4 linked regions of the Drosophila melanogaster genome follow. Changing the gene in region 1 together with any one later gene gives a genetic interaction. Each region holds a gene or a part of one and is shown in the gene's direction. Other genes may lie near its edges.

The links.
Region 2: of Cat (region 1) and Pink1, changing one suppresses a phenotype caused by changing the other (phenotypic suppression), as found in Drosophila melanogaster (one study listed by BioGRID).
Region 3: of Cat (region 1) and Trxr1, changing one enhances a phenotype caused by changing the other (phenotypic enhancement), as found in Drosophila melanogaster (one study listed by BioGRID).
Region 4: of Cat (region 1) and fh, changing one suppresses a phenotype caused by changing the other (phenotypic suppression), as found in Drosophila melanogaster (2 studies listed by BioGRID).

What each region holds. Positions count from the first base shown.
Region 1 is NT_037436.4:18,820,382-18,829,548, forward strand, and holds Cat (catalase), read left to right. Parts: upstream 1-2,222; 5' UTR 2,223-2,404; coding exon 2,405-2,461; intron 2,462-5,956; coding exon 5,957-6,877; intron 6,878-6,974; coding exon 6,975-7,517; 3' UTR 7,518-7,807; downstream 7,808-9,167. Other genes in the region: HipHop (HP1-HOAP-interacting protein), read left to right, coding at 926-1,591; Indy (I'm not dead yet), read right to left, coding at 8,842-9,132. UniProt on the Drosophila melanogaster protein: Catalyzes the degradation of hydrogen peroxide (H(2)O(2)) generated by peroxisomal oxidases to water and oxygen, thereby protecting cells from the toxic effects of hydrogen peroxide.
Region 2 is NC_004354.4:6,681,295-6,688,310, forward strand, and holds Pink1 (PTEN-induced putative kinase 1), read left to right. Parts: upstream 1-2,546; 5' UTR 2,547-2,776; exon of another isoform or gene 2,777-2,833; 5' UTR 2,834-3,167; intron 3,168-3,223; 5' UTR 3,224-3,262; coding exon 3,263-3,427; intron 3,428-3,491; coding exon 3,492-4,277; intron 4,278-4,340; coding exon 4,341-5,354; intron 5,355-5,418; coding exon 5,419-5,619; 3' UTR 5,620-5,744; downstream 5,745-7,016. Other genes in the region: Fum1 (fumarase 1), read left to right, coding at 1-78, 143-405; Fum2 (fumarase 2), read left to right, coding at 542-619, 676-840, 925-1,128, 1,212-2,016, 2,077-2,336; CG44303 (uncharacterized protein), read right to left, coding at 5,745-6,008, 6,069-6,071; CG3184 (uncharacterized protein), read right to left, coding at 6,376-7,016.
Region 3 is NC_004354.4:8,241,099-8,249,283, forward strand, and holds Trxr1 (thioredoxin reductase 1), read left to right. Parts: upstream 1-2,483; 5' UTR 2,484-2,630; coding exon 2,631-2,961; intron 2,962-3,090; exon of another isoform or gene 3,091-3,332; coding exon of another isoform or gene 3,333-3,399; intron 3,400-4,289; exon of another isoform or gene 4,290-4,528; coding exon of another isoform or gene 4,529-4,646; intron 4,647-4,995; coding exon 4,996-5,341; intron 5,342-5,411; coding exon 5,412-5,638; intron 5,639-5,709; coding exon 5,710-6,596; 3' UTR 6,597-6,935; downstream 6,936-8,185. Other genes in the region: CG2147 (uncharacterized protein), read left to right, coding at 1-223; sni (sniffer), read right to left, coding at 480-1,045, 1,107-1,158, 1,853-1,978; ND-75 (NADH dehydrogenase (ubiquinone) 75 kDa subunit), read right to left, coding at 7,832-7,996, 8,056-8,185. UniProt on the Drosophila melanogaster protein: Thioredoxin system is a major player in glutathione metabolism, due to the demonstrated absence of a glutathione reductase.
Region 4 is NC_004354.4:9,146,248-9,150,985, reverse strand, and holds fh (frataxin), read left to right. Parts: upstream 1-1,914; 5' UTR 1,915-1,973; coding exon 1,974-2,291; intron 2,292-2,360; coding exon 2,361-2,615; 3' UTR 2,616-2,906; downstream 2,907-4,738. Other genes in the region: Bap111 (brahma associated protein 111kD), read right to left, coding at 1-1,563; CG7065 (uncharacterized protein), read right to left, coding at 3,363-4,738. UniProt on the Drosophila melanogaster protein: Promotes the biosynthesis of heme as well as the assembly and repair of iron-sulfur clusters by delivering Fe(2+) to proteins involved in these pathways.

The sequences.
Region 1 (9,167 bases):
CTGTTGTTGTTGGCCTACTTTGTGTGTTGTTGCTGTATTTTTTCTCTCCTCTTTTTTTTGTTGCTCCAACTTCTCTCCTTTGCTTTGCTTGAAAAAATTTCACACGCGCCGTTTCTTTTTTTGTCTCTTCTCTTTACGTAAATTAGATTGCCATTTGAAGTTATCTTTCGAGGGATTGCACTTGGTATTAAGCTATATTATACATATACGTGTTGCACTACATTATATTTATAAAAATTATGTGTATTCGTTTGAAATTTTAATTGTGTTTTTATAAAAAGAAAATCAGACGAGACGAACGTATGAACAATGAATGACAAAAAATAACCTGGGTTTAATGGGCTAACATTTCGCGTCCAACAGCACGCTGAGTGCTGTTCGGCGAGCAGCTGATTTTGCAGTTTTCGGTATTTTCAGTATTAGTTGGTATAATTACAGTTTGATTTGAATGTGGTTTTAGGGTTTTAAAAAATGTGTTTTTAAACTCATTTTAATTGATACAACCAACAGAAGAAATACAGTCAATTTTCAAACTAACTGATATAACATAAGTATTTCATGAACATCGAACACGCCAATAATTAGATTATTGTCAATTTTAAACGAATAGTTTCTTCATATTAATTACTTAACTGGCATTACAATAAGCCACATTTAAATTGTGAGAAACTGTGACCATGTCAGTATGTTTTTAGATTTTATAACATTTAAAAAAATTGAATTTGTTTATTAGTTAAATGCATTTTATTTTACGCCTAATTTTGGTATATTTCAGCAATCCATATGTGGTCACACTATATGTTTCCAAAGTGGCGGGACAATTGGCTTCATGTTTCGTTTTGTTGCGTTTGGAAGTTAAAATGCCAGTGTAAGCATTGTTTTGTAAGCCCGAGTTGTGGAGAACTAGGTGCATGATCTATTCCAGATGGCCTCCATTGACGAGGGCTCGCGCGTTGAGCGGAGATTCTGCGCAGTCGGCAACCACACGCTGCGGAAGCCGTATCGCCAACTGAACAACAAATATTTGGTGCGCTTCGCCTGTTTGCTGAACAGCGAAATTCGGGCGGGCAACCTCATCTGCTGCAAGTGCTACACGGACCTGGTGCGACTCTACCGGAAGAAGAACGACAATGCCAAACGGCACAAGATGGCCAGGGAGACTGCCGCGAGCATTACGGACGTCAGCGGCAGTCAGTCATCGTCGCACCAAAGTGCGCCCTCTTTGCATGTCTCTGGCCAAAGTTCCGAATTCGGTGCCTCATACAGTGAGGGGGGCATTGTGACTCCCGATGAAGAGCTGTGCTCCCACAGAAGCTTAAGTCAAGATTCAGACAATGTGCCCACTACCAGCGCTGCAGCGATCCAAAAACGCCAGCTTGCGAGGGCAAACCTAATGGTGAAACCATCGCAGAGGCTGAGCTTGGCCCAGACTACTCCGGATTGCGACGACTACGACCCCAACTCGAATCTCAGTTTGAACGCCGTGAATGGCACGCGACTGCCGCACATTCAGCCGATTCCAAAGAGGCGCCCGACCGTCCTGGACAAGCAGTCCATGGATATTTACTTGATGGGAACCACAGGTGGTTAGGTGATTTTTTTAAGTTGTGACTAGAGAACAAGATACATATGCTAGTTGATGCTAGTTTCTAAGTTTCATTTAATTAGATATTTTTGTACGCTAAAATAAAGAAAGACAGAGATGTTAGCTTGGCAGGAGCCACAGAAAGATAGCCGCCATTTGGAGATTTCCTTGAAGTTTATAATTTTAACATGTTTAATGATATTTACATATATTATATGAATGAAGTACATTTATTTTAAAGGCACCACTGGAAGAGGTTCACAACTTAAGAAAAAAAGAGGCCATAGATATTTATTTGGCAGGAGCACCAATAGATAGCCGACTTAGTTTATAACTTAATGATGCCGACATTTTCATGAAATTAAAAAAATAAATAACTTAACAAACAGTTTAAATTTATTCACCTTTCTGGGCAGCAAATGGAGCGAAGGTACTATAAATTATCAATAATAAATCTTAATGGTGTTGGGACACGTTTTTAAATGGACAGTGCAAAAAAAAAACTTTGAAAATGAATTTCATACTATTTAAATACAAATATGAATAATAATGGATATTATGTAATATTTAAGCGATATATTTCCAACTATAATCGAAATATCGATATCTTCGGCCCACTCGACAACCCTGAGCAACAACAAGTACGTGGTGCTGGGCTATAAAAACAAATGGAACTGCGCTGCAGTTGCTTTAGTTGACAGAATTCTCGACGCAGTCACAGCAAAAAACCGAAGGCGGCTAGAAATCAACAACTTTCCAGTTCGAGTGTTTCTAAATTCTGGTTATCCCGTTGAGCAAATATCCTAAATTTTAAGCAAAATGGCTGGACGCGATGCGGCTTCCAATCAGTTGATTGACTACAAAAACTCCCAAACGGTGAGTGTGTTGGTGTGCGAGCGCGAGAGAGCGCAACTGCATGTGTGTGCGTGTGTGTGCCGGCAGGAAAATAAGAAAACAAGAAAGGCAAAAAAGACAAAAAGAGAAGGGAGAAGCATTGTACGAAATGAAATAAACAAAAAACAAGACAATTTCAGTAACGATTGCTATGAGCCTGTACTTTCCATTAATTCCATTAATTATTAAAATGCGAAAAACAACAAAGGCTTGTCCAACAAATGCCAGTAATGATGAAGTCGTTTCCCCAGAGTTCGAAGTTCAAAAGCCGCCTCTCTGGGTCTTCTATTTATTTGTAGAAATCTTATCAGAAGTGAACTGATAAACCTTATCAGTGTGGCAATTCTTATTGGATTTGTGTTTTCTGTACCTAATCCAAAGTTAATTTTATTTTCCCTTTTATTTTTATTTTCCTTCTTAAGGAAATCCAAAGTTTAGTCTAGCTAACCTATTTTCTAACCTTGGGCGACCTCTTACCTTAGTCTATTTTCATTTTTCAGCGCTGTTTTCACTTAGCACTTCCAATTTCATTTGGCACTTGCATTGTGCATTGGATTTGAGTATTCGAATTTGTTCGTTTGCACTTTTGTGTTAATTATTCGCTTTCGCTTTTGGTTTAGATTAAATGCATGATTTCAATTGTGGAATCGTGCCCTCTTAAAATTTTGAACAAATATTGTTTGTTCACACTCGGAAAATTGTACTTTCCTAAATTCGTGGCATTCCACAATTGCAACATTTTATACACTGCAATCATTTTTGAAATCAAATATGCTGTTACATTTTATAAAAAGGAATGAAATATAACAAAATCAATAGTAAGCCTCACCCATAGATACTGTATCTATATATAATTTACTCGGCAATTTCCCTGTGGTTTTCCCAATGCCCTCTAAAAATCGATAAATGAAATAATAATTCTGCATAGCTATTTGTCAGCCAGTTGATAGGCATCCAAAACAGCTAAGTAATTGGCCCAAATAGATTAGATGTATCAGCCGTATAGATATTGTTGAGTGCCCACATTTGGTTAGTAACTAAAGTAAATTTCCATTGGATTTCGATACTTTGTAAGTATGAATTGTCAGTTCTCAAAGAATACAATCATTTTTTGTTTTTTAATTTAGTATACCTTTTTTTTACCCTATTCAATTAAGGCTAAATCTAGAACTTAGTTCTCGCATCAGCGATTTAAGTGCATTTGTGCATTGAGTCACGAAGCCAATTACTCCACTAACTAAAAGCAATCAGCGGTCATTATTTTATATAAACAAATATAGATATGAACTTTTTGAGAAACGCGATCGCTGGATTGCACCGCTTGTAAGTTGGAAAATTCGTTGGGAGTCAATGGACTCTGCGGCGACCGGCTCAATGTTGCACAAACTGGTTGCAATGCGCATCGACTGCGAGTGATTCGAGTGACAACGAACCCGGCTTTAAACCCGTTTTGGGTTGAGTGCGGAAGGCTAGACCGCTTCGGAAAATGCGTGTGCCAGTGCCATAAGTCAACGCAAATTTTCTTTCTCCAATTTGGTTATGCAACCTGGCTGGAACGCCCGGCTAAAAGCGACTGTATGTGAGAATATGTTTCGAACTGACCCAGAAAAGAGAGCTAGCTCCACAGTTGGTTGGTTGGTTCGTGTTGTTTTAGTCGATTTTGACCTTCTATGACGAAACTGTGAAAACTGCATTCTGTCAGGCAATTAAATGTTTGCCTTTGTTTCGGTGAATAATCATGGCAACTGGGTTCTTTGTTCTTTTGGGAATCTCGCAATCGAGTTAATTTGTTATCCAAGAAATTCGAAAATGCAAGGAAAATACTTGGAATATTTTGCAACGCAATGCATATTGCGTAAGGTCATTGTGAGTCGGTTAAGAACCCTATAAAAATCCTTATTTAAAATCCTTTAGCTTATTTTCTATGCATTCTCATTCTCGAATGAGTAACCTTCTGCTGATAAATTATGTCTAGAAGGCAAATTTATCTCATACTATCAGGTGCACTGATCTTATAAAGCCGCCTCATTAAGTTGCTGTTTGCCATCTTTGTGTCATTGGCATCGCCAACAAGTTGCAATTAAAAACTTTCCTGTAGACTGTGTTCTTTGCATTTCTATTCGAGATCGGTTGCGGTTCTCTTATCAGTTTGCTCTTCGCTGGAGATATCTACAACCAAATACATACATACATATATAAGAACGAAGGCTCTGATAGGAACCAGATTGACTTGTTGGACGTGGATCGCAGTTCCAGCGGTTCCACTCGCATTGTCATTCCCGGTTTGCTTCACTTATCGTATCTGCCCCCTGAAGTGGCCCCATATTAATGTCTCAAAGTGCAAAACATTCCGGCTGAATCGGCCGAATCTAAAGGGTGACTCCAGTATAAATTCCAGAATGATAATTTCGAAATTATATTCATTTCTTCGTTTTTATGTAGCGCTTTTTGTTTGTCAATAAGTGGGTATACTACTGGCCTGTCTAAGCTGATTTTATTATTAAATAGATACATATATACTTCTAGGAACTAAGATTTGATAAAGTCAACTACTAATTCCTTAAACAATTGTAAAAGTCTTAGTGCCCAACCGGGTAATCCCAACCCAAGTGCTATATGTATCTAAATGACTTTGTTGTGAAATATAAACAGTAGCTTAATTTATATGTTTGACACACCACCACCACCACCACCGGTGGCTTCACTTTGATAAACAACCTTCTGTATAAAATTCTATATGCATTGTTCTAGAAATGCTTTCGAATTAGAATTTCGCATGGCGTTGTTCAGGTTTCAAATACATTAGCTAAACAGTGCGCATTGGCCGGTGACAGTTTTGCAAATTGTTGGCTGAGTTAATTTTATAATGAGTGGCTGGCCTGCATGCGAAATAAACGATAAGGTGATTAAGGAGCGGTCTCGGATTACTCTAGGGAAATGAATTGAAAACAAGGAGTATGATTAGATCGACTGATAAATGACAGGACAGCTGGTGGGCTAATTGATATTTCAGATGGACAATACACTTTTATTAGCTTAATGGAATGAAATAATTAATTGATCGCCAGCTAATAAACTGTGTAACATCATTTTGATGTTTGAATACTTTCATTTAATTGGTTTTTTCCTTGCACACGGATTTGATATCTTGACATGTTAATGCAAAAAACCCATACATCATCACTATATTAAGGCCTCAAGCTCTTAAGAACACCTGGGATCTCTTATTTTAAATTTATATGCACTGCAAAATGACCCCCCGTGTAGAGATAACGCTCTGCAATCTTTATGTTAATGTTTTTTTCTTTTGGTGAAAATCGAATGATTAAATGAAAGTCCGCGGGCCAAAAATGAATTATCGCAATAGGCCCGATAAGATTGTAAGACACTTGAACCAATATATTGTTGCTGAATGTTGCATAGCATTTTAAAATTAAAATACATTTGATTAAACTTGACTTTCATTTGCTTTTGCAGGTTTCTCCTGGTGCCATTACCACCGGCAATGGAGCACCCATTGGAATCAAGGATGCCTCCCAGACGGTTGGTCCGCGAGGACCTATCCTGCTGCAGGATGTGAACTTCCTGGATGAGATGTCGCACTTCGACAGGGAGCGGATTCCAGAGCGTGTCGTGCACGCCAAGGGAGCTGGTGCTTTTGGTTACTTTGAGGTGACCCATGACATCACCCAGTATTGTGCCGCCAAGATTTTCGACAAGGTCAAGAAGCGCACTCCACTGGCCGTGCGATTCTCCACCGTGGGTGGTGAGAGCGGATCTGCGGACACCGCCCGCGATCCTCGAGGATTTGCCGTCAAGTTCTACACTGAGGATGGCGTCTGGGATTTGGTTGGCAACAACACGCCGGTCTTCTTCATTCGCGACCCGATCCTATTCCCCAGCTTCATTCACACCCAGAAGCGCAACCCGCAGACGCATCTGAAGGATCCGGACATGTTCTGGGACTTCCTCACCCTGCGACCGGAGTCCGCTCACCAGGTGTGCATCCTGTTCAGCGATCGCGGCACCCCCGACGGTTACTGCCACATGAACGGCTATGGCTCGCACACCTTCAAATTGATCAACGCCAAGGGCGAGCCCATCTATGCCAAGTTCCACTTCAAGACGGACCAGGGCATCAAGAATCTGGACGTGAAGACCGCCGATCAGTTGGCTAGCACTGATCCGGATTACAGCATTCGCGATCTGTACAACAGGATCAAGACCTGCAAGTTCCCCAGTTGGACGATGTACATTCAGGTCATGACCTACGAGCAGGCCAAGAAGTTCAAGTACAACCCCTTCGATGTCACCAAGGTCTGGTCGCAGAAGGAGTACCCTCTGATTCCTGTGGGCAAAATGGTGCTGGATCGCAATCCCAAGAACTACTTTGCTGAGGTTCGTTTTTTTTTTTTGTTTCAAATAGATTCTTCTTCATTTGAGATTAATGCAATCAAAAGAAAGATAACTAATATGGTAATTTTCTGACCCTCAGGTGGAGCAGATCGCCTTCAGTCCCGCTCACCTGGTGCCCGGCGTTGAGCCCTCTCCGGACAAGATGCTGCATGGTCGTCTGTTCTCCTACTCGGACACCCATCGCCATCGCCTGGGACCGAACTACTTGCAGATCCCGGTGAACTGCCCGTACAAGGTGAAGATTGAGAACTTCCAGCGGGATGGAGCCATGAATGTGACGGACAACCAGGATGGTGCCCCCAACTACTTCCCCAACTCGTTCAACGGTCCCCAGGAATGCCCCAGGGCCAGGGCCTTGTCCTCCTGCTGTCCGGTGACTGGAGATGTCTACCGCTACAGCAGCGGCGACACCGAGGACAACTTCGGCCAGGTCACCGACTTCTGGGTGCATGTGCTCGACAAGTGCGCCAAGAAGCGTCTGGTGCAGAACATTGCCGGCCATTTGAGCAACGCCAGCCAGTTCTTGCAGGAGCGGGCCGTCAAGAACTTCACCCAGGTGCACGCCGATTTCGGTCGCATGCTGACCGAGGAACTCAACCTGGCCAAGTCCTCGAAGTTCTAAGCTGAGCGAGCGGATTCGACGGATCAGACTTGGTTTTTGGCCTTAATTACGATTAATCCAATGGAACTAATTATTCCAACACCAACACCACCACCACCAACACCACCCATTCCGAAATTGACTAAGAAAGGCGAACGCTTTTCGGATCTTTGGTTGCGGGCTTAAATTGATTTAACCACGAAATGTGTCTTGTCTTGTTTTGATATTCAAAATTGTTTAAGTCATAAACAAATTACACTTACAATGTATATGTATATGCAATGAATATATAATAAATTCTTTATTTTTTGATATAACTGTTTGGAGATTCTTTAATTTTTTGGGTCACTTATAGTCGAGCTCTTAATTCCCATTTAAATATTTCTTCGGTACCCTGAGAAATTACTACTTCGAATGATTGAACTTAATCTTAATCAAATTTGTTCCTATGAAATATACATCAATTTAATACTTTTTGTAATGATATTTTTATTACCATTATCTCCTATGAGTAAAATGTTTTATTTCTCCGTAATTTTGTAAAAATATGTATTTTATTTGATGAATTGAAATTTCAGCTACAAGTGTCCAGTAGATGTAAAACTGTGCCAGTGAGTCTTAAACCTTTTCAGTGAATCGCGCATCCCTAGCAGGGCGAGTTATCGATTAATTCGAGTTATCGTTATACGAAATGCATGGCGCGCTTTGAACATCAAACAAAATAAGTTATTGAAATAAACAAACGTATAGTATTATTGTCGTTTGAGCTTTTTATTATTTAATATTTTTTACAAACTATATAAAACATAAATCATCTGAAAATGTACACAGTATCATTTAAGCTTAGCCTACCGCTATTTGTGTGTTCATTTTGGTTCGCAATGAAGTATTGAGTGAGTTGTTCATTTAAAAATTTTTACAAGTTGAAAAACATGTATGAATATGTAAGTTCTCTCAGTCTAGTTATTTAAAATATTAGCAGGCCAGGGCTGCCATTGAACAAACTGTTCTAACTTTTCCAAATCTTTTCCATTTTTATGCTAAATGCAACAATTAAGTAACATTAATTTGTATTTAAATATTTAGCTGAGTGCGTAGACCAGGTGTTCAATTCCTGATTAACAGTATATTGCGATACGTTTTTTTTTTAACACATTTTTCTAAACAGTAGGTAATGCTTTTGTATCAAAACTTTTCGCAACTCTGAAATGCAAGTATACATAGTTAAATATTTTTCACATTTTTCGCTGTCAGCAAAGGCACTTTTCGTTTAAAATTCCCTAAATTTTCCTCAACTTTATCGCTGTGACGGGTATGTTAGTTATTTACACTAATTACTAACTATCTAGTGCGTCTTGTTTCCCAGTGCTGCCGCGGCATAAATCTGAGCCCATTCGGGGAACGAGTTAAGGTTCGGATAGACGACCAGGCCCCAGGTTTGGCAGAAAACAAACAGGGTGATGATGGTAATGATGGTCGGACCGATTCCAGCAATGGCCATGTCCTTCGTCCTAATGTTGGCATAGCCAGCAACCAAAGCGTTGGGCGGAGTACTAACCGGCAGGTGGAAGGCCATACTGCAGGCCAAGCCAGCGGGCAGGATCAGGTACAGAGGATGGATCTCAATGGCCAGGGACTGAAACAGAAATAAACTCATTTAGTACACAACGT
Region 2 (7,016 bases), on another chromosome or scaffold:
GATCCAATGGGCACTTCGAGCTGAATGTATTCAAGCCCCTGATCGTGTCCAATGTGCTGCGCTCCATTCGGCTATTGTGTAAGCTACCTATTACCCACCCTTGGTGGAACGCCAAATCAATCGAATCTATTCCTTTTTGTAGCTGATGGCAGCAGGACCTTCACTGCCAACTGTGTGAATGGCATCCAGGCGAACCGCGAGAATATTGCCAAGATCATGAACGAGTCGCTCATGCTGGTGACCGCTCTGAATCCGCACATTGGTTACGACAAGGCTGCGAAAATTGCAAAGACGGCGCACAAGAATGGCACCACACTCAAGGAGGAGGCCATCAATTTGGGTTACCTGACGGAGCAGCAGTTCAACGACTGGGTGCGACCCGAACAGATGCTGGGACCCAAGTGAAGTGGAGCCAAGTAGGCCGACGACGAAATCCATCATTCAATCATCGCTGTCATCGGAATCGCAGTGTGATTTTCTAGATCAGATCGTTTTGTTGTATATGAATCGCTCGGAAACACAGAACCAATAATAATTGAAAATGCTGAAGCAAAACAATGGTCTGCATCTGGCTAGGCGCAATCTCTGGGTGGTTTGCAGTGGCCTCCGTGCCAAGGATGTAAGTACGCGACAATGGTCGCTGGCAACTCATGGCTACATGGGGCATCTTTGCAGTGCGACAGTGGCGGTAAGGGCGGCAAGGGCAAGGAGAATGGCAAGTTTCGTACGGAGAAGGACACCTTCGGGGAGCTAAAGGTGCCGGCGGACAAGCTGTACGGCGCACAGACGATGCGCTCCAAATTGAATTTTCCCATTGGCGACATAGGCGAACGTATGCCGGTAGGCAACCAACCAACCAACCAACATATTCTGGCATCTACCAAGTGCTTTGCCATAGCCAATTAATCCCCAAACTGCCCGCAGATGCCGGTGATCCAGGCCATGGGCATACTGAAGAAGGCATGTGCCGAGGTCAACAAGGATTACGGACTAGATGGCAAGGTGTCGGATGCCGTATCCTGCGCCTGCGACGATGTCATTTCCGGCAAGCTATACAAACAGGGTCACTTCCCATTGGTCATCTGGCAAACCGGTTCGGGCACCCAGACCAATATGAACACCAACGAGGTAAGATTGTTAGATAGGGCTAACGAGAGAAATGTGTATAGCTGGATGCTTCTCCTGCCCCATGCCATTGGCAAACCTACTAGGTGATCAGCAATGCGGCCATTAAGATGATGGGCGGCGAACTGGGCAGCAAGAAGCCGGTGCATCCCAACGATCATGTGAACAAGTCGCAGAGCTCCAACGACACCTTCCCCACGGCCATTCACATTTCGGTGGGCATGGAGCTGAACGAGCGGCTTGTTCCGGCGGTTACACACTTGAGGGATGCCCTCAAGTCCAAGTCGGATGAGTTCAAGGACATCATCAAGATCGGACGCACCCACTTGATGGACGCAGTTCCGCTGACTTTGGGCCAGGAATTCAGCGGTTATACACAGCAGTTGACCAACGGTCTGGAAAGGATCAAGGGCTGTCTGCCGCGCGTCTATGAGCTGGCTCTGGGCGGCACTGCTGTGGGTACGGGTCTGAACACACGCAAGGGATTCGCCGAGAAGGTGGCCAAGCGCATTTCGGAGCTAACCTGCTTGCCCTTCGTGTCGGCGCCCAACAAGTTCGAGGCACTGGCTGCCCGCGATGCCATGGTGGAGGTGCATGGTGTGCTCAACACGATCGCCGTCAGCCTGATGAAGATCGCCAACGATATCCGATTGCTGGGATCGGGTCCGCGTTGCGGTCTGGGCGAACTAATGCTGCCGGAGAACGAGCCCGGTAGCTCCATCATGCCCGGCAAGGTGAATCCCACGCAATGCGAATCAATGACCATGCTGTGTGCCCAGGTGATGGGCAATCAGGTGGCGGTGACCATCGGCGGCTCCAACGGGCACTTCGAGCTAAATGTATTCAAACCCCTGGTCGTGTCCAATGTGCTGCGCTCCATTCGCTTGTTGGGTGAGTCGGAAATGTGTTTTCCAAGTGGAAAAACATGCATACATAACCTTCTCCTCCCAGCTGATGGCAGCATGACCTTCAGCAAGAACTGCGTGGAGGGACTGCAGGCCAACAAGGAGAGGATCGACAAGATCATGAACGAGTCCTTGATGCTGGTGACCGCGCTGAATCCGCACATTGGCTATGACAAGGCCGCCCTGATCGCCAAGACGGCGCACAAGAATAAGACGACCTTGAAGGAGGAGGCACTGAAGACCGGAATTACCGAAGAGCAGTTCAAGGAGTGGGTCAATCCCAAGGAGATGCTGGGACCGAAGTGATTCGCTGTGCGGCTATTGACGATTTTGTTTTAGTTTCGTGTAATAAATTTTTGTGTGTAGCAGGATATTTCAATAGATTGTATTAATTTGTTGATTTTACGGCAGGTGAATAACGGTTTTTAGTTTTTGAATTCTCCAAATGATTCGAGTCCACACTACGCGATAGTCATTATCGATTCTAAAGATATACCGTAAGTGTGGTCACACTAACGCCTTGCTGTTTCTAAATTATTCCGTTGTTTTTATCGTAAATTCTTGCACACTTAGCTATTATTTTATAGCGAAATATAAGCAAAGCAAGCTTTTAAACAAGTGTTTATTGCGGCGCACATTTTCCGTGACAAATGAAAAGATCCAGCTGACCAGCGATTATCTAACGACCAAATCGAATCGAAACGAAACGTTGAAGTAGGCGCATTACATTAAAAATTGGCTGCCAGGCAAGTTGGAGGTCGTAAATTAATCGTTTTGTTCAGTTGAAAATAGCCCAAAATCAGTCTAGCCCACACAGATATCGAAAAAGGCGATATATCTTTGGATAATCATTGCAAAAATAAACCCTTTCGATTCGACGATTTCGCCTTGTAGTTCTGCCACCACCGCCCCCACACTTCGCCCCGCAGCTGCACCACAACCACCACCACCCACAAACAGAAAATTTATTTGCGACGCAAAAACAAAACAATCGAATCGAAACGAACCGAACCGAAACGAAACGACAGCAGCTGTTTGGTTATAAATCGGCGCTATCGATCGCACACATGAGCAAAATTGGCGGAGAAGAAGAGGAAGCAGCAGCAAGAGTTAAGCACCACAAATCTTAAAGAATAGGTAAAAATTAAAAATTAAATTAATAGATGACAGACCGTTTAAGGTGCTTCATTCAGTTGCAGGCACTAGGAGCCGAGGTCTTTGCGGGCCGAAAGATGTCTGTGAGACTGCTGACCGTGCGACTGATCAAACATGGTCGCTACATTTTGCGCAGCTATTGTAAACGTGATATACACGCCAACATTTTGGACCAGAATCAATTGAAGACAAGAAGCAAGCGAGGCTTTCCCCTACCCTCCACCGCTGCCAATGTGCTGCGGGTAAGTCAAGCTAAACGGATGATCAAGGCATGTCCAATTAACCCGCATCCAATCTCTTCGCCAGACAACGCCCCAGCAGGCGGCCAAATCGGTGGTCAATGTAGTGCCCCGCACCATCAACTCCCCGTCGGGATCACCGTTTAATGGCAGCGGCAGTAGCCCCACCAGCAGCAGTGGAATCTTCCGAGTGGGCCAGCATGCGCGCAAATTGTTCATCGACAACATCCTCAGCCGGGTGACCACCACCTACTCGGAGGATCTGCGCCAGCGCGCTACCCGCAAGCTATTCTTTGGCGATTCAGCGCCCTTCTTCGCCCTGATTGGCGTTAGTCTGGCCTCCGGATCGGGTGTGCTCAGCAAGGAGGATGAACTGGAGGGCGTGTGCTGGGAGATTCGGGAGGCAGCTAGCCGGCTGCAGAACGCCTGGAATCACGACGAGATCTCCGATACGCTAGACAGCAAGTTCACCATCGATGACTTGGAAATCGGTCCGCCCATAGCCAAAGGTTGTGCCGCTGTCGTCTATGCAGCGGATTTCAAGAAAGATGTTGCCTCGGATGGTGCATCCCTGCATACCGATGCGCAGCCGCAGGCAACGCCAGCCTTTGCGCCGAATAGCTGGAGTACCCACGAGATGATGTCGCCGCTGCAGAACATGTCGCGCTTTGTTCACAACTTTGGCGGCTCTGTGGACAACGTCTTCCACTACAGCCAGCCATCTGCGGCCAGTGATTTCGTGGGCGCCCAGTCGAGGGAACAGGACCAGCGGCACCACGAGCAACAGCAGCATCAGAATCAGGAACAAGAGCAGCATCAGAACCAGGAGCCCAGCAGCAGTGCCTTCAATGTGGTAAATATGTAAGCTTAAATCTGCATGGCAACTTGCCATCACGCTCTTTGCTTTAACTTGCAGACTTCTCCAGCGAATTCAAACATCAACAGCTCTGTGGACAGTTATCCACTGGCACTCAAAATGATGTTCAACTACGACATCCAGAGCAACGCTCTGTCCATACTGCGTGCCATGTACAAGGAGACGGTACCGGCACGCCAGCGCGGCATGAATGAGGCCGCCGATGAGTGGGAACGTTTGCTGCAGAATCAAACTGTTCACCTGCCGCGGCATCCGAACATTGTCTGTATGTTTGGCTTCTTTTGCGACGAGGTGCGCAACTTTCCCGATGGCCATCTCCTGTATCCGGTGGCGCAGCCGCAACGCATCAATCCACAGGGCTATGGCCGCAATATGTCGCTGTATCTGCTGATGAAACGCTACGATCACAGTCTTCGCGGCCTGCTCGATAGCCAGGATCTGAGCACGCGCAATCGCATCCTGCTGCTGGCTCAAATGCTCGAGGCTGTCAACCATTTGAGCCGTCACGGCGTTGCCCATCGTGACCTAAAGTCTGATAATGTGCTAATCGAGCTGCAGGACGATGCGGCGCCGGTGCTAGTGCTCTCCGACTTTGGCTGTTGTCTGGCGGACAAGGTGCATGGCCTGCGCCTGCCGTACGTTTCGCACGACGTCGACAAGGGCGGCAATGCGGCGTTGATGGCGCCAGAGATCTTCAATACGATGCCCGGTCCGTTTGCCGTACTCAATTATGGCAAGGCCGATCTGTGGGCTTGCGGTGCCCTGGCTTACGAAATCTTTGGCAACCGCAATCCGTTCTATTCGAGCAGCGGTGGGATGGCGCGCGAACGCGGTGAGATGACGCTTTCGCTGAGGAACAGCGATTACCGACAGGACCAATTGCCGCCAATGAGCGATGCTTGCCCGCCGCTGCTGCAACAGCTGGTCTACAACATCCTCAATCCCAACCCGTCCAAGCGGGTCAGTCCGGATATTGCGGCAAATGTGGTGCAGCTGTTCCTCTGGGCCCCATCCAATTGGCTTAAGGCGGGCGGCATGCCCAACAGTCCGGAGGTGGGTCGCAGTGTTTGATACCACATCAGCATCCTTTTAAGCTAATTATGATTTTTTTTTACAGATCCTACAGTGGCTCCTTTCGCTGACCACTAAGATTATGTGCGAGGGTCGTCCACAGATGGGCGCCGGATTGATGCCAGTGGCCAGCTGTGGCAATAGGCGCGCCTATGTGGAGTACCTGCTCATATGCAGCTTTCTGGCACGCGCCCGGCTGCGTCGCATTCGCGGCGCCCTCAACTGGATCCAGAATGTGGTGGCGTAGGAGAAAAGCCTTCTACTTGTTACTCTGAGAAAATCAAATGGAAAAGCGTGTGATACCTATATTTTACATATGTATTTATAAATGAAATCAAAATTAACGCCAAAAGCACGCCTCCGGTACAATAATTATTGACCCTCCTGATCTTTCTGATTCTTCAGCTTCTGCATTTTCGCCACCAGCGCCTCCTGTTTGACCAAACTCCTGTCGAGCTTTTCCATCACCTGCCTGATCATAATTTGGAGTTCCGCAAGATGTTTCTCCCAGGCCACATTCTGCTCCTCCAGCTCGATAAGCTTATAGAGATTGGCCTCGTTTGAGTCTTCGATGTTGTCTATAGCCTGATCCAGGCTATCCTCGGCGTCCAACTTGTTTGGATTTTGTGGGGGATGCTGTGCGGAGTAGAATGAGGAGTTTATAAAGTTAGCAGGATCTCTACGTTTAGTACTTACCATAACTAAACAGTTCAAGTTCATTCACTTCTCTGAATTCGCAAACTTCGAATGAAAATGCGCTGACAGAACTTACGATAACCGCACCAGGGCTGAGCCGATTGCATGCGTTATCGATATCGCCTGCCAGGGATGTTGGCAGTTTAAAATTAGTTTTGGAAAACTTAGGATATCCCAAATGCCATGAACAATTCTGTTTTTTCCGCAAACTATTATACAAACTATAGATAGTTGAAAAACATAAGCCAGCAAATGTTTATTTTTCTTTTAGTTTTTAGTCACATAACATAATATACAGATATCGAATTCATTTGTTAATATCCACGCGACTCACACACAACGTGTGATCATAAAAGGAGCAAGTGGCCATGGTCAAGGACGCATCGTCCTTGTTTCTCCATGGTGCCCAATCGGCCCCGTAGCAGATGCTCTTATGCTCCTCATAGGCGCCCAGTAAACTCAGGCCAGGTGCCGCGACATCCAGCTGCACCACGCTAAAGTTGGTGTACATGCAGGCGGCCAGGATGAGATCGGGCTGGGCAGGATGCGGCTTCAGCCTCCAGATGCCTCCGCTCAAGTCCAGTTCCGCCAGTGATCGCTTCATCGATCTGGTGTCGAAGAGACGCAACTGCTCATCATAGCTACCCGTGAGCAGATGGTTTTCGTGCCGCGGATGACTTAGCAGACAGGTGACTCCAGCCATGTGCGCCCGGTTGGTCCACGCACGCTGCTTGGTGCGCAGATCGTGGGCCATGAGCAGCATATCGTCGCCACCACTGTACAGAATGTGCGGTGACCAACGATCAAAGGCACAGGTCCAAGCCTCAAAGCCATGGGACAACCACGACCGTTCGCGGATTATCTCACCCTGTGATGAGTAGCTCAATAGATTTAGGCCGCCTTTGGAATCGGAGATGGCCAGTCGGATGTGCTGCCCGTCATGTTGCC
Region 3 (8,185 bases), on another chromosome or scaffold:
AATACCTACAGCACAAGATTCAATCTCGCCGCGTCCCGTGGCCCTGGTAACACCCCAGCGCCAGATTCCATATCCGGATCCCAACAATCCACCGGCCGGTGGAGCGGATGTGGGCGGTTTCGGAGCGGGACCAAATGCCAATGCCGTGCGCCTGCCACCGTTGGCCCACAGCATCAGCATCGATCCCTCCAGGGTGGCCAAGGTTCCACCAAGAACCAAATAGCATGTAGTTATCGCCAATTCAGGGCCTAGGCTAAGGAACTTCAAATTAATGTGTTCTATGGCGGGCTGGAAAATCAATTATTTTTCTATGTAAAACACTTAAGACACCTCACAAAATACAATCAGAAATGCGAATGATGGGGGGACGGGACCTCTAAAAAGTAAACCCAAGCGTTTCTTGACTTTAGGAGTCCAGTTTATTCAACAACAATTAACAGACAGAAACAAAATGCAGGTAAACTAACCGCTGTCATCGTTTACCAGGCCAGCGGAGTGCCGTCGTAGTTGACAAAACCGCCGTTCTGTTTCTCGCCCAGCTTGCTGATGGTCTGCACAATTTGTCCCGTGCTGGTGGGCACGTCCAAGGGGGCACTGGAGCCACCCATGTCGGTTTTCACCCAGCCAGGATGCAGACTGACGCACATGATGCGTTGCGGATACAGATCCACGCTCAACGACTTGGTGGCCGCATTCAAGGCCGACTTAGAGGTGCGATAGGCGTACATTCCGCCGTCCGTGTTGCCCTGGATGGAGCCAAGGATCGAGGACATGTTAATAATGGCGGCACGGCCCACGCCCATCGGCTGGGATTCGTTCGCTTTGGCTGCCTTCTTAAGGAGCGGCAGACACGCCTTGGCCAGCATGATGGGCACAACCGTGTTGGTCTGCAAGGTGTCGAGCAGCTCCTGCGATCGAACGGCCGTTATCCTGGCCGATTTGGGCGCTATGCCGGCATTGTTGAAGAGCACATTGAGGCCTTGGTCCTTGGTCACGCCCTCGATGTCGGCGACTAGCTTGTCATAGGCATCGAAATTTCTCAAATCTGCACGGAAAATATATTTATATGCGAGAGTGTTTAGCGGCTGGTAAAACATAATGCTTACCAATCTCAAGTATGTGTATGTTCGAGTGGTTCTTGGCTAGATCCTCCAGCTCCTGTGGGCCAAATTGGGAAAGACAAAATGTTTGAATAAGAAGCACATTATTAGTAAAAAAGCAGTTTATATATGAATAATTTTCCAGTTAAATTACTGTAATTTTTAGAGGCAAATTTGGTATTTCATGAGAGTTTAAATAGCGCGCCCAACGAGCGCGTTAGTGCCATAATAACCGATAGACGATAAGTGCTGCTGGTGTGACCGAACAATAGTCGGCCCAGCAATCGACAAGCCAATCGACGTCTCCCTTTCGCACGCTCGTACGAAAGTACAAAAGCTATTGCAAAAGTTGGCTCCGCTTATTCGTTTCGTGCTTTCGCGAGTGCCGAGAGCCGCTACAATACACGCTTAGCAGTTTTTACATTTCCGCTTCGACTACAACAACATTCACTACCCGCCGTTGATCCTTGTTTTCTGTCTGATTTACGTGGAGCACCTACCAACAAGCAACAAAATAATGGCGCCCGTGCAAGGTGAGTTTCACAGTTAATTCGATTCCAATTGAACCATTCAATTTATGCATGCCCATTTGGACGATTAAAAAGCGGTTTGTAGAAATAGTGGCTCTTGTGGATTGTTCGCGTAGCTTCTGTAGTTTCTGTAGCTCGACGGTTGTGAGTCACCGGTTTTGTTGGATTACTGGATTGTCTTAGTAGAGAGACAACGCAAAATAAGAAGAAAACATCTCTCACCTTTGCCTGCTCGCGATTCCGGCAGGTGGTAAATAGATGCTGCGGCGGCTGGGGAAGATTGAGCAGCGCCTTGACCAGGCCCAGACCCAATCCTCGATTGCAGCCGGTTATCAGGATGGAGTTCATGTTTTTTTTTTCCGAAGATCCGCGATCGAGTTGCTCGAAATCTTATCGCGTCGTACTTGAGATAAAACCAATAAAGGGCGGCACTACTATACGGGTTCCGTGTGTTCTGTGGATTTCACCAGACCCGCAGCCAGATCTTTCCGTGCTTATCAATCGACTTTATTGCCGTAACACAAGCGTGAAAATAGTGAAATGTTAGGAAAAATTTTGACGGCCGGCTGTTTCGTTCGGACAGCAGCAGTGTTACCAACCATCCGCGAGTTATCGATACACTTGCGCATTGCCAAACGTGCGTTTCGCACATTTCCAATTGGCAAAGGGCAGAACAACTGTTGTGATGTTCAAATCCCAAATGGAATTTCGCAATCCAATGGATGCTCCTTTATGGCAAATCCATTTTATCCCAAACATTCTCGTTTTTGCGGTACGCGCTCTTGCGCCCTCTCTCTTTCTCGCTGCTTCTGTTACGTAGCCGTTTATCGGCGCCTCTGCCTGCCCACCGCTTTCGCAGCATTCCCGGCCGAACCAGCGAACGTGTTTGTGTTGTGTGTTCCGCCGTCATTTTTCTGCACCCTTTTCGCGAATAGTTTCGTTTCGCCTCCAGCTGGTAGAGTGAAACGCCAAACGTTGAAGAAGGGGAAAGGCCAACAAGATGAACTTGTGCAATTCGAGATTCTCCGTTACGTTCGTGCGGCAGTGCTCGACGATTTTAACGTCTCCTTCGGCTGGCATTATACAAAACAGAGGCTCACTGACAACAAAGGTTCCCCATTGGATTTCCAGTAGTCTCAGCTGTGCCCATCACACGTTTCAGCGAACTATGAACTTGACGGGACAGCGAGGATCACGCGACAGTACTGGAGCTACCGGTGGGAATGCTCCAGCCGGATCCGGTGCCGGCGCACCACCACCCTTCCAGCATCCACATTGCGACAGGGCGGCCATGTACGCGCAACCGGTGCGAAAGATGAGCACCAAAGGAGGTGAGCATCGATATCGATTGATATTCTGATTAGATCTTTGCTGTTGCCGCCGCAGCTGCTGCTCCTGTTGCCGCCGGTTGGCAACGCGGTCGATTGTCGCGGTTTTCTTGCTTGTTGTTTTTTCTGGGTCTTCTTGTGTTTAACCGACGCCATTATGCAATAACCGTTAGTTGCCTGGCCAAAAAGTCCATTACTCTGCTCTTATTACCTGGCTTATCGGGTTTCTGCGGCACGTATTCGCCAAGGGTTTATATGCCTGCCCGGCATTTGCTGTCTCACATTTGCACCGTCATCGTCAATCGTCATCGCGCACCCGCTCCAACTGGAATTGTACAGTCGGGGTCGCGCGAACAGCACTCGAAACTCGTATCATGCTGAAGTACATGATTTGCGCCATCGTTGTGGGCGCCAAAAAGAGCACATCCTCTAAGTATAATGGTCAACAAAGTTCTGAATCGCGTATAAATACTATGTCAGTCGAATTTTTTTAATTGAATTATGGATTGCTCATAAAACCATTACTCAATTGCAGCTTAAACAATATCAGTTATTTGCCTCAAAAAAGAATTACATCATATGACTTAACGAATTAATAATATTTGTTAAATTACATTCATACAAGTCACTTGTATTGCCATTTTGCCTTTAGCTGGTAAAAAAAAACTAATATCTATTTATATGAAGTTAAACGTATTTGATGTTTTAATTTGTAATATAATATAAATCCCACATGCCACGATCAAGTTTTCTTGTTAAATGAATAATTAGCCAATCGAGCAGATACGAAGCTTCTAATTCCGAAAACAATAGAAGAATTTACTTATAAATATATGCCATATTCTGATTTCAAATGGTAATTAAGGGTATAATAGGATTTCTTAAAGCACCAACGTGATATGTGTGATTTTTGTCGAATGCGGTGCTCTTGAACGAATAACCCTTTGCGGAATGTTCGAGAATCGCTTTATGATGATGATGATGATGATTTCACCATATCAGTCGGGTGCATTTATTCCCTTTATCTGTGTTTTCTATTTCGTATCTCTCGTATCCGTCGCTCAACGAGCGCCCGCCATCGTCTTTGATCTTTCATCATCATTGCTGAGCTGCGTCATCACCACTTCATTCCGCAATTAATTGCAGTGTGACGACAACAATTGTTTATTTGCACTCGCATTCGTACGTAGCCACCTGATTTCCCCCTGTTCCTGGCCAGGATTAGCATTCCGTCCGATAAAAGCGAATTGTGTGTGGTGTTGCCAACTAGTTTTGGGGCGTAACCATGACAAAGTCCGGCGGGTCAAAGCAAACCGAATGGGGGGGCGTAGGTGGACGGACGGAAGAAAGGCGTGGCCGGGCTGGGATGGGCGTGGCTTGGTGTGTGGCGATGTCGCTAGATGATTGCTCCACTTTGATTCGAACTCCCACTGACCCAGTGGCATGTGTGGCATTCGGCAGCACTATCGCTACCTGGCAACTGAAGCCAAGGAGCTCGACGGGATTGCACGGTGCAGATTACGGATTGCAGGAGGCCAAACAGTCTTCGTTCCGCACTTCTTTGGTCTGGATGCATCTGTTCGAATTCATACCGGCTTCCCAGTTGGTCGAGGGTGAACCACGCCACCGGAGGAGCATCTACCGATCCGCCTATCTGGACATACGACTGCGCGAGGAGTCCACCAAAGGCAGGCGGGGATTAGCCATAATCATGAGTGAAGCTAAAGAGAAACTTGAGTAGTTGGCACCACATGGCTAATTGATATCATTACCTATCACTGATAAGGATTTTCAACTAATCTAGATACTGGTTAAGAACAAAAACAGACCATGCCAATACAACATGGCTATTGATGTTACTAACGGTGATAAGTTTTTAATAATACAAGGTGAATTGGCTGTGCTACGATTAGATTTCCTGACGGCTCCTCATGTTCTGTGACCTCTTGACCTCTTTAAGCCCAATTTTGGCAGTAGATTACATATTTCTATAGACAAAAGGCGATGAATCAAACGAAAACCTTTTTTCTCCTGCAGGATCCTACGACTACGACCTTATTGTGATTGGAGGCGGCTCAGCTGGCCTGGCCTGCGCCAAGGAGGCAGTCCTCAATGGAGCCCGTGTGGCCTGTCTGGATTTCGTTAAGCCCACGCCCACTCTGGGCACCAAGTGGGGCGTTGGCGGCACCTGCGTGAACGTGGGCTGCATTCCCAAGAAGCTGATGCACCAGGCCTCCCTTCTGGGCGAGGCTGTCCATGAGGCGGCCGCCTACGGCTGGAACGTGGACGAAAAGATCAAGCCAGACTGGCACAAGCTGGTGCAGTCCGTACAGAACCACATCAAGTCCGTCAACTGGGTGACCCGTGTGGATCTGCGCGACAAGTAAGTGTGACTATATCTATGGCTTCCGCTCGAGCATCCCCACTAATTATACCCTTCTATTTGCGCTCAGGAAAGTGGAGTACATCAATGGACTGGGCTCCTTCGTGGACTCGCACACACTGCTGGCCAAGCTGAAGAGCGGCGAGCGCACAATCACCGCCCAGACCTTCGTCATTGCCGTTGGCGGCCGACCACGTTATCCGGATATTCCCGGTGCTGTCGAGTATGGCATCACCAGCGATGATCTGTTCAGTTTGGACCGCGAGCCCGGCAAGACCCTGGTGGTGGGAGCTGGCTGTAAGTAGCTACTTTCATTTGCTTACATCAAATTGATGAATAACCCATTCGGTTTCTGCTCTTTCACTCAGACATTGGCTTGGAGTGCGCTGGATTCCTGAAGGGTCTCGGCTACGAGCCCACTGTGATGGTGCGTTCTATTGTGCTGCGTGGCTTCGACCAGCAGATGGCCGAGCTGGTGGCAGCCTCGATGGAGGAGCGTGGCATTCCCTTCCTCCGCAAGACGGTGCCGCTGTCCGTGGAAAAGCAGGATGATGGCAAGCTGCTCGTGAAGTACAAGAACGTGGAGACCGGCGAGGAGGCCGAGGATGTTTACGACACCGTTCTGTGGGCCATCGGCCGCAAGGGTCTGGTGGACGATCTGAACCTGCCCAATGCCGGCGTGACTGTGCAGAAGGACAAGATTCCAGTGGACTCCCAGGAGGCTACCAATGTGGCAAACATCTACGCTGTCGGCGATATCATCTATGGCAAGCCAGAGCTGACGCCCGTCGCCGTTTTGGCTGGCCGTTTGCTGGCCCGCCGCCTGTACGGAGGATCTACCCAGCGCATGGACTACAAGGATGTGGCCACCACCGTTTTCACGCCCCTGGAGTACGCCTGCGTCGGCCTGAGCGAGGAGGATGCCGTCAAGCAGTTCGGAGCCGATGAGATCGAGGTGTTCCACGGCTACTACAAGCCCACGGAGTTCTTCATTCCCCAGAAGAGCGTGCGCTACTGCTACTTGAAGGCTGTGGCCGAGCGCCATGGTGACCAGCGCGTCTATGGACTGCACTATATTGGCCCGGTGGCCGGTGAGGTTATCCAGGGATTCGCTGCCGCTTTGAAGTCTGGCCTGACTATTAACACGCTGATCAACACCGTGGGCATCCATCCCACTACCGCCGAAGAATTCACCCGGCTGGCCATCACCAAGCGCTCCGGACTGGACCCCACGCCGGCCAGCTGCTGCAGCTAAAGCGGGAACGCAGCTCAGCCGCCTGGGACGTGTCGAAGCCGCTTGCTCCACCCGAAATCCCGTAGATGAATGGTTGTTGTCGCGGCCCAGCGATCGATGAGTTCAATAGTTCCGTTTCGTTTCCACAATTAACACCCAACACAATAGCTCTGCGCAAGGGAGGGGCACTGGGCAGCGATGGCGGGTGGAACGACACCAGTGGAACTACCCGCGCGACCAGCCCAACCCACGACTGCTGCGCCGCCGACATGCACTCAAAATTTTGAATTTGTTTGAACCTATGAAATTAACTATGAAATCCCCTAAATGTACGGTTGAAGAATATAATTTTTCACCAACAAACCCCTCTGTGTTTCAGTTCTGTGCATTTCCTTTAAAACATACCTCGACCTTTAGCCCTTCCTCTGCCTTTTCAATCAAGTAAGTTCATTAGCCATGCAAATGGCTTGACTTGACCTGGCTAAATCGATTCTGTCTGCCAGCCTGACAACTTGTTAGCCACCCGACTAATTGCTAATGCCATTGCTAGGGGAATCTTTGCCCTCGAGGGCTATAAATCAGCTACGAACGATGGCACCCTGGAGATACATATATCAGTGGGTAATAAATTATACTTTAGTTTTCAAAGGAAAAACAGTGCGTGATAAAGTGTAATAGAAGCTACGAAAAGGTTGAAGTTTATGACCTAAGGAATCCTCGCAAGCAAATCAAAATCAAATTAAGACAGTAAATTGATGCAATCAATTAATGAACAGCAAAGAGAATTCAATAGCTTCTATAAGGAATTAGCATTAATCATATATGTATGTATGGAACACTTTCGAGGTGGTATCTCCGATTGGATGCCACGAAACAAAGCGAGATGGCTATACTATGAACCAAGCGACTTGGAATAGCCCAATATACCCATAGTGAAACCCAACCCATTGATAAGTCGCTGTTGTGATATTTTTTCTATTACATTTTTATTTTGGTTTTCCTATTTTTCGTATTGAATAACTCCTTTGTTTTGAACAACGTAAGACTTTTTCATTTACAACTGACGCAGCGCTGGCGCCTCTGCAGCCGCCGATCGTGCTCCTCATCCCGCTACTGCGCTGGCTCTTCCCGCGGCTCGTCCTGGTGTCTTTGTGTCCGTTAATTAGTGGGCGAGTGCGGCGCGAAAGGACGAAGGGCAGAGTTTAAAAAAAAACATTAATTAGTTATTAGTTTAGATCAGACGCGAGAGTGGGCGCCTAGATAGCCACACTCTGCTTGGCCTCGTTCTCCCGCTGCTGCTTGTTGACCGCCGATATGCACTTGGCCATGGTGGGCGAGGCGCGCGAAATGGCGTCGGTCATGAAGTAGTCGCGCAGCTCCTTTAGCTTAATATCGATGGCGCCACCGCCGATGGATTTGCTCTGCAAACAAACAAACAGTAATAAATTACAACTTTCAATGGAGCATAATTTCAACTTACAATAGTGCCCGCTGCTCCGGCATCGCCGGCTGGCTCCAATTGGCCCAGGCGCGTTAGATGTGGCGCCACATCCTCCAGACGGTTGCGCAGCTCGTCCAGGTTGTCGTACGGCAGCGGCTTGCCCACCACC
Region 4 (4,738 bases), on another chromosome or scaffold:
CTGCGGCAGTGGCACCTGTTGTGGCACCGGCGGTGGCGTTGGTGTCGTCGTCGTTGTTGTGGTCGCTGCAGTAGCTGCTCCGGCCGCTGGAGCCACCTCAGGCGGCGGTGTGGGTGTCGGCACCGGTGTGGGCACCTTGCCGGGCTGGGCCACCACTTTGGCGGGTTCCGTTTTGGGTGGCTCGACTAGCGTTGACTGCGGAGGCAGGGCAGCGGCCATCTCCAGCTTCTCTGGCTTGATGGGTGGCGGCGGAACCGATGGCTTCGGCGGTGGCTCAATGTCCATGGGCTCGGGATCCGTTTTGCTGGCAGTTTCGTGCACGTGCACCGCTGGCGCCGGCGTAGGCGTTGAACTCGGTGTGGGATTGAGTGTAGCGGGCTTCACAGCCGGCGGTGTCTCCTTGGGCGGAGCTGCTGGCGCTGGTACCGCCGACGCCGGCTCTTGGCCAGCGGGTGTGGCAGCGGGCTGACCTGGCTGCGTTGGCGGCTTCACTGCCTCCTCGCTCCTCGTCACTGGAGCGGCGGCAGCTGTAGCGGCAGCTGCAGCAGGATTCGCTGCGCTATTCGCATTCGCATTCGGTTCATCCAATCGCTGGCGATCGCGCTTGATGTCCTCGTACATGCGAAGCACCATCTTCTGGAAAGTTTCCTCGTCGACCGCCGGCTTGCAGTGGCGCTTTAGCTCCTCCTGGAAGGCTTCGCTGGACTCCACCATGCGCTGCTTCTTGGCCTCGAACTTCTCCTCCATCTGCTGCAGTTCCGCCTCAAGTTTGGTCTGGTGCATCGTCAACGAGCTGACCTGCCGCTTGAGCACCTGCATCCGCGTGGTGGTCACCACTGAACGCACATCTGGTACAACGGCCTCCGAGAATATCTCGTTAATCAGGCGATGGTTGTGCAGATAGCGGGCGTAGGCCAAGTGCTTGGTCGTATACCCTTCGTCCTGGTCATCCTCGTCCTCCGCCGGCTGAATGTCGATGCGTCGCTCATGCTGCGACTTACTGCCGCCACCGCGTGACGGTGTCTCATGCATATCCACGTCGGTCTTCACCTTGCTCTTGGCCGACATGTAGGCCTGATAGGCGGGCGTCTGGTGGTAGGCCTTTAGCGATTTCTCGTACTCCAGCTTCTCCGCCTCGTATTCGTCAATGAACTCCGTCTTCTCATCCTCGGGCAGCAACTTCCACATGGCACCGATCTTCTTACCCAGCTCCCACAGCTTCAGCTCTGGATGCTTCGCCTTGACGCTATCCCAGACGCGTTTCGAATACCGCATGTAGGGCAAAATGGGCTTCTCCGGCGGCTTTGGTGGCTTGGGTAGCCTTGATTCGTTCTGGTTCTTGCTGCTCGACGACTTGGTTACCTTCTGTGGCGTGAATGCCGGATTCCCATAGTTGCTGTGCGTGAAGATGGGCGTCTGATCCTTGTTGCGATCGCCACCACCTCCGCCGCCGGATGAACGCGACCGGCTGCCGCCGCCGGAGCCACCGCCGCCGCCCTGGAGTGGTGTGGCCGATCCCTGGCCGCCAACGGCTATCTGCTTGTAGTTGCTTGGCAGGGCCATCTTTGTGCAATTCGCTGGTCAAATTTGTATGGATTTTCCAAGAGAAATAACAATTTTCAGACAGACGCCATTTTCTGTCGGCGTTGGTGGAGGTGTGGCCGTATCTGATTCTAAGAAAAATCATATAAGCCGGGAATTGGTATATATAGCGGAATATATATGATAAGGAAATAGTAACTGCTAGAGAATATACAAAATTTTAGTTACCTAAAACTAGCAGAACACTTTAGCTGAATTGCTGCTACTAATAAAAAAAATCTGTAACTTCTCATTTTTATTCAGCTTTATAGAAATCAAAAATTATACCACACTAGAATCTAGAAAATACCAACGGCAAATCATTTTCCATTAAGTTGGCAGCCCCGCAACTGGGATTTGTAAAATATAAACAAATCGTAAACAACTAAAAAATGTTTGCCGGTCGTTTGATGGTCCGTTCGATCGTTGGTCGGGCATGCTTGGCCACCATGGGCAGGTGGTCAAAGCCCCAAGCACACGCCAGCCAAGTGATCCTGCCCAGCACACCAGCGATAGCCGCAGTTGCTATTCAATGCGAGGAATTCACTGCCAACCGGCGATTGTTTAGCAGTCAAATTGAGACGGAATCCACATTGGACGGCGCCACCTACGAGCGTGTGTGCTCCGACACCCTGGACGCACTGTGCGACTACTTCGAGGAGCTGACGGAGAACGCCTCCGAGCTGCAGGGCACGGATGTGGCTTACAGCGTAGGTGACATTCGGCTATTACATCATTCCATTGACCTGCTAATCCTCGCGGGGTTTCCGCTTCCACAGGATGGCGTGCTAACCGTGAACCTGGGAGGACAACACGGCACCTATGTGATCAACCGGCAGACGCCCAACAAGCAGATCTGGCTCAGTTCGCCCACCAGCGGTCCCAAGCGATACGATTTCGTCGGCACTGTGGCGGCGGGCAGATGGATCTACAAGCACAGTGGTCAGTCGCTGCACGAACTGTTGCAGCAGGAGATACCCGGCATACTGAAGTCACAGTCCGTGGACTTCCTACGCCTGCCCTACTGTAGTTAATTCCGTGATTAGTTTAAATTCTCCTCCATAAAAAGTCGGTTGAAACGTTCGATTTTGATATATTTATTGTTCTTCATCTGTTGGCACAGTGGTCACTCGATATACATGGAACTGCTGCTGCTGCGGATGAGCAAAGGTATATACTTATACTTCCCTGGAGCTGTGAAGCTTAGCTTCTGGTATAAATGCTTTGCATTCGCTTATTCATTTATGTACGATTAGTTTTGGTTTCGAAGTTTAAATTTGTTGTTTTTGAGAGGAATAAACTTAAAAATCAGTTGTTTAATGTATAAATCAAATAATAATAATCAAATCACCATTGAAGAACATCATATGTAGCTATACATATTTTATTTTATTTTATTATTTGTCACTTGTACGTTCCATTTCGTTTATTTTTATTTCAATACACAGAATTCAGAACTCAAAGCTCCCCCAGCTAATAATTCCAAACGAAAGTCGATTAAAGTTGATTTCCGGAATTATTGTGTATGTTTATTCACGTGCTCTTCAGATTTATGTTTTCTGAATTCTATTGTTGTTCGGTGTTTTATAAACAAATGAAGGTAGTGATTATTTTCTTTTCTTTTTTTTGGCAGCAGCACACATGTATGGTAAAAAAAAAAATAATAAAAATCACTTGCCAGCTAGCAGATACACGGGCACTTCAAAGGGCGTTATTCTCGTTTCTACATTACGTTTAAATTGCATAACGTTAATAGTATGGATATCTAAGTCTACGACACTCTAGTGACGTCCACCGAACATGTTGTTAAAGTGCGGCTGCTGCTGCTGCTGCTGCTGCTGGGCACCCATAAAGTTCTGGGGCATCTGGTTGAAGGGCGGCTGTGGCGGCACATTGCTGGCCCACGGATTAGGGGGCGGACCCACGTAGCCACCTGGACCTGGTGGCACCATGCCGCCGTAGTTCTGCTGCACGCCATTGCCCGCAAACGGATGATAGCCGCCGTAGCCCTGCTGATTTGGATAGTGATTGGCATTCGGTCCGCCGCTCAAGCCGCTCATCAGTGGCTGTGCCTCCTGGCCAAAGTTGCGGCCATGCTGCTGCTGCTGCTGCTGCTGCTGCTGTTGCCCTGGATAGCCCGCATTGGAATAGCCCGCTCCGGGCTGCTTTTGGCCAAGATTTTGGCCTGGATTCTGACCCAAATTCGGTGCATTCTGCGCATTTGGCGCTCCATGCTGCTGGTTCATCATATAGTTGCGATTGCCACCCACGGGTGAACCTCCAGAAGTGCCATTCTTGCTTAAAGTGCCCATTAGATTGGCTATGATGTTCTCGGTGTCTTTTAGCGAAATCTTGGTCGCTGCTGCTGGCTTGAAAGTGAGCGCATTTGGCGATGATTCAACGCCTATAATGGGCGGCACTCCTGGCTTATTGTGTACACCAGCACCAACGACACCACCACCACCACCAGCACTAGCACTTCCATTCGAATCGCAGGCCTTCATCACCAAATCATCAAAGTTGTAATCATCATCTTCCTCGTCATCGTCATCGAGCATGATACTGGGCGTGTTCCGGCCGCGTCTCTGCTTATTGATGGGCATACTGGACATATCACGATCCAAATTGGGGCGCTGAGCGCTCAGCATGGAGTGACCCACTTTCGGAGCCGTGGCACTGGCGGAGCTGGCGGCCATGGCGGAGGAGGTTCTACCACCCATAACCGAAGCCTTGAACTTGGTAGCCGGTTTCGCCTTGCTAGCCCCACCAATTTTCACCACGCGCGCCAGGAAATCACTGCAGGACTCGCCATCGCCTCGGAGCTCCACCAGATTCACATACTTGCGCAGACGATCGACGCGCGACGGATCCTGTACCTCCAACTTGCGCAGATGGCCAATGAGATGAACCTGCTCCTCGTTCGACAAAAACTTAAAGTTCTGGAGTAGGGTCTGGAGATCTGAATCTGTTAGCGATTCCAAGCCAGTGCTGCCACCGACTGTATCGGCGGCTTGTACCTTGGCCGGTGCTCCCGTAGGTTTATTCACAATATCGACGGACTCCTTGTGCAGCTGATGCTCCACCTCCTTCATCAGCTCGTCCAGATCGATGCCCATGTCATCGGGCGACGGATTATTTTGCAGTCCGAGCTTTACCT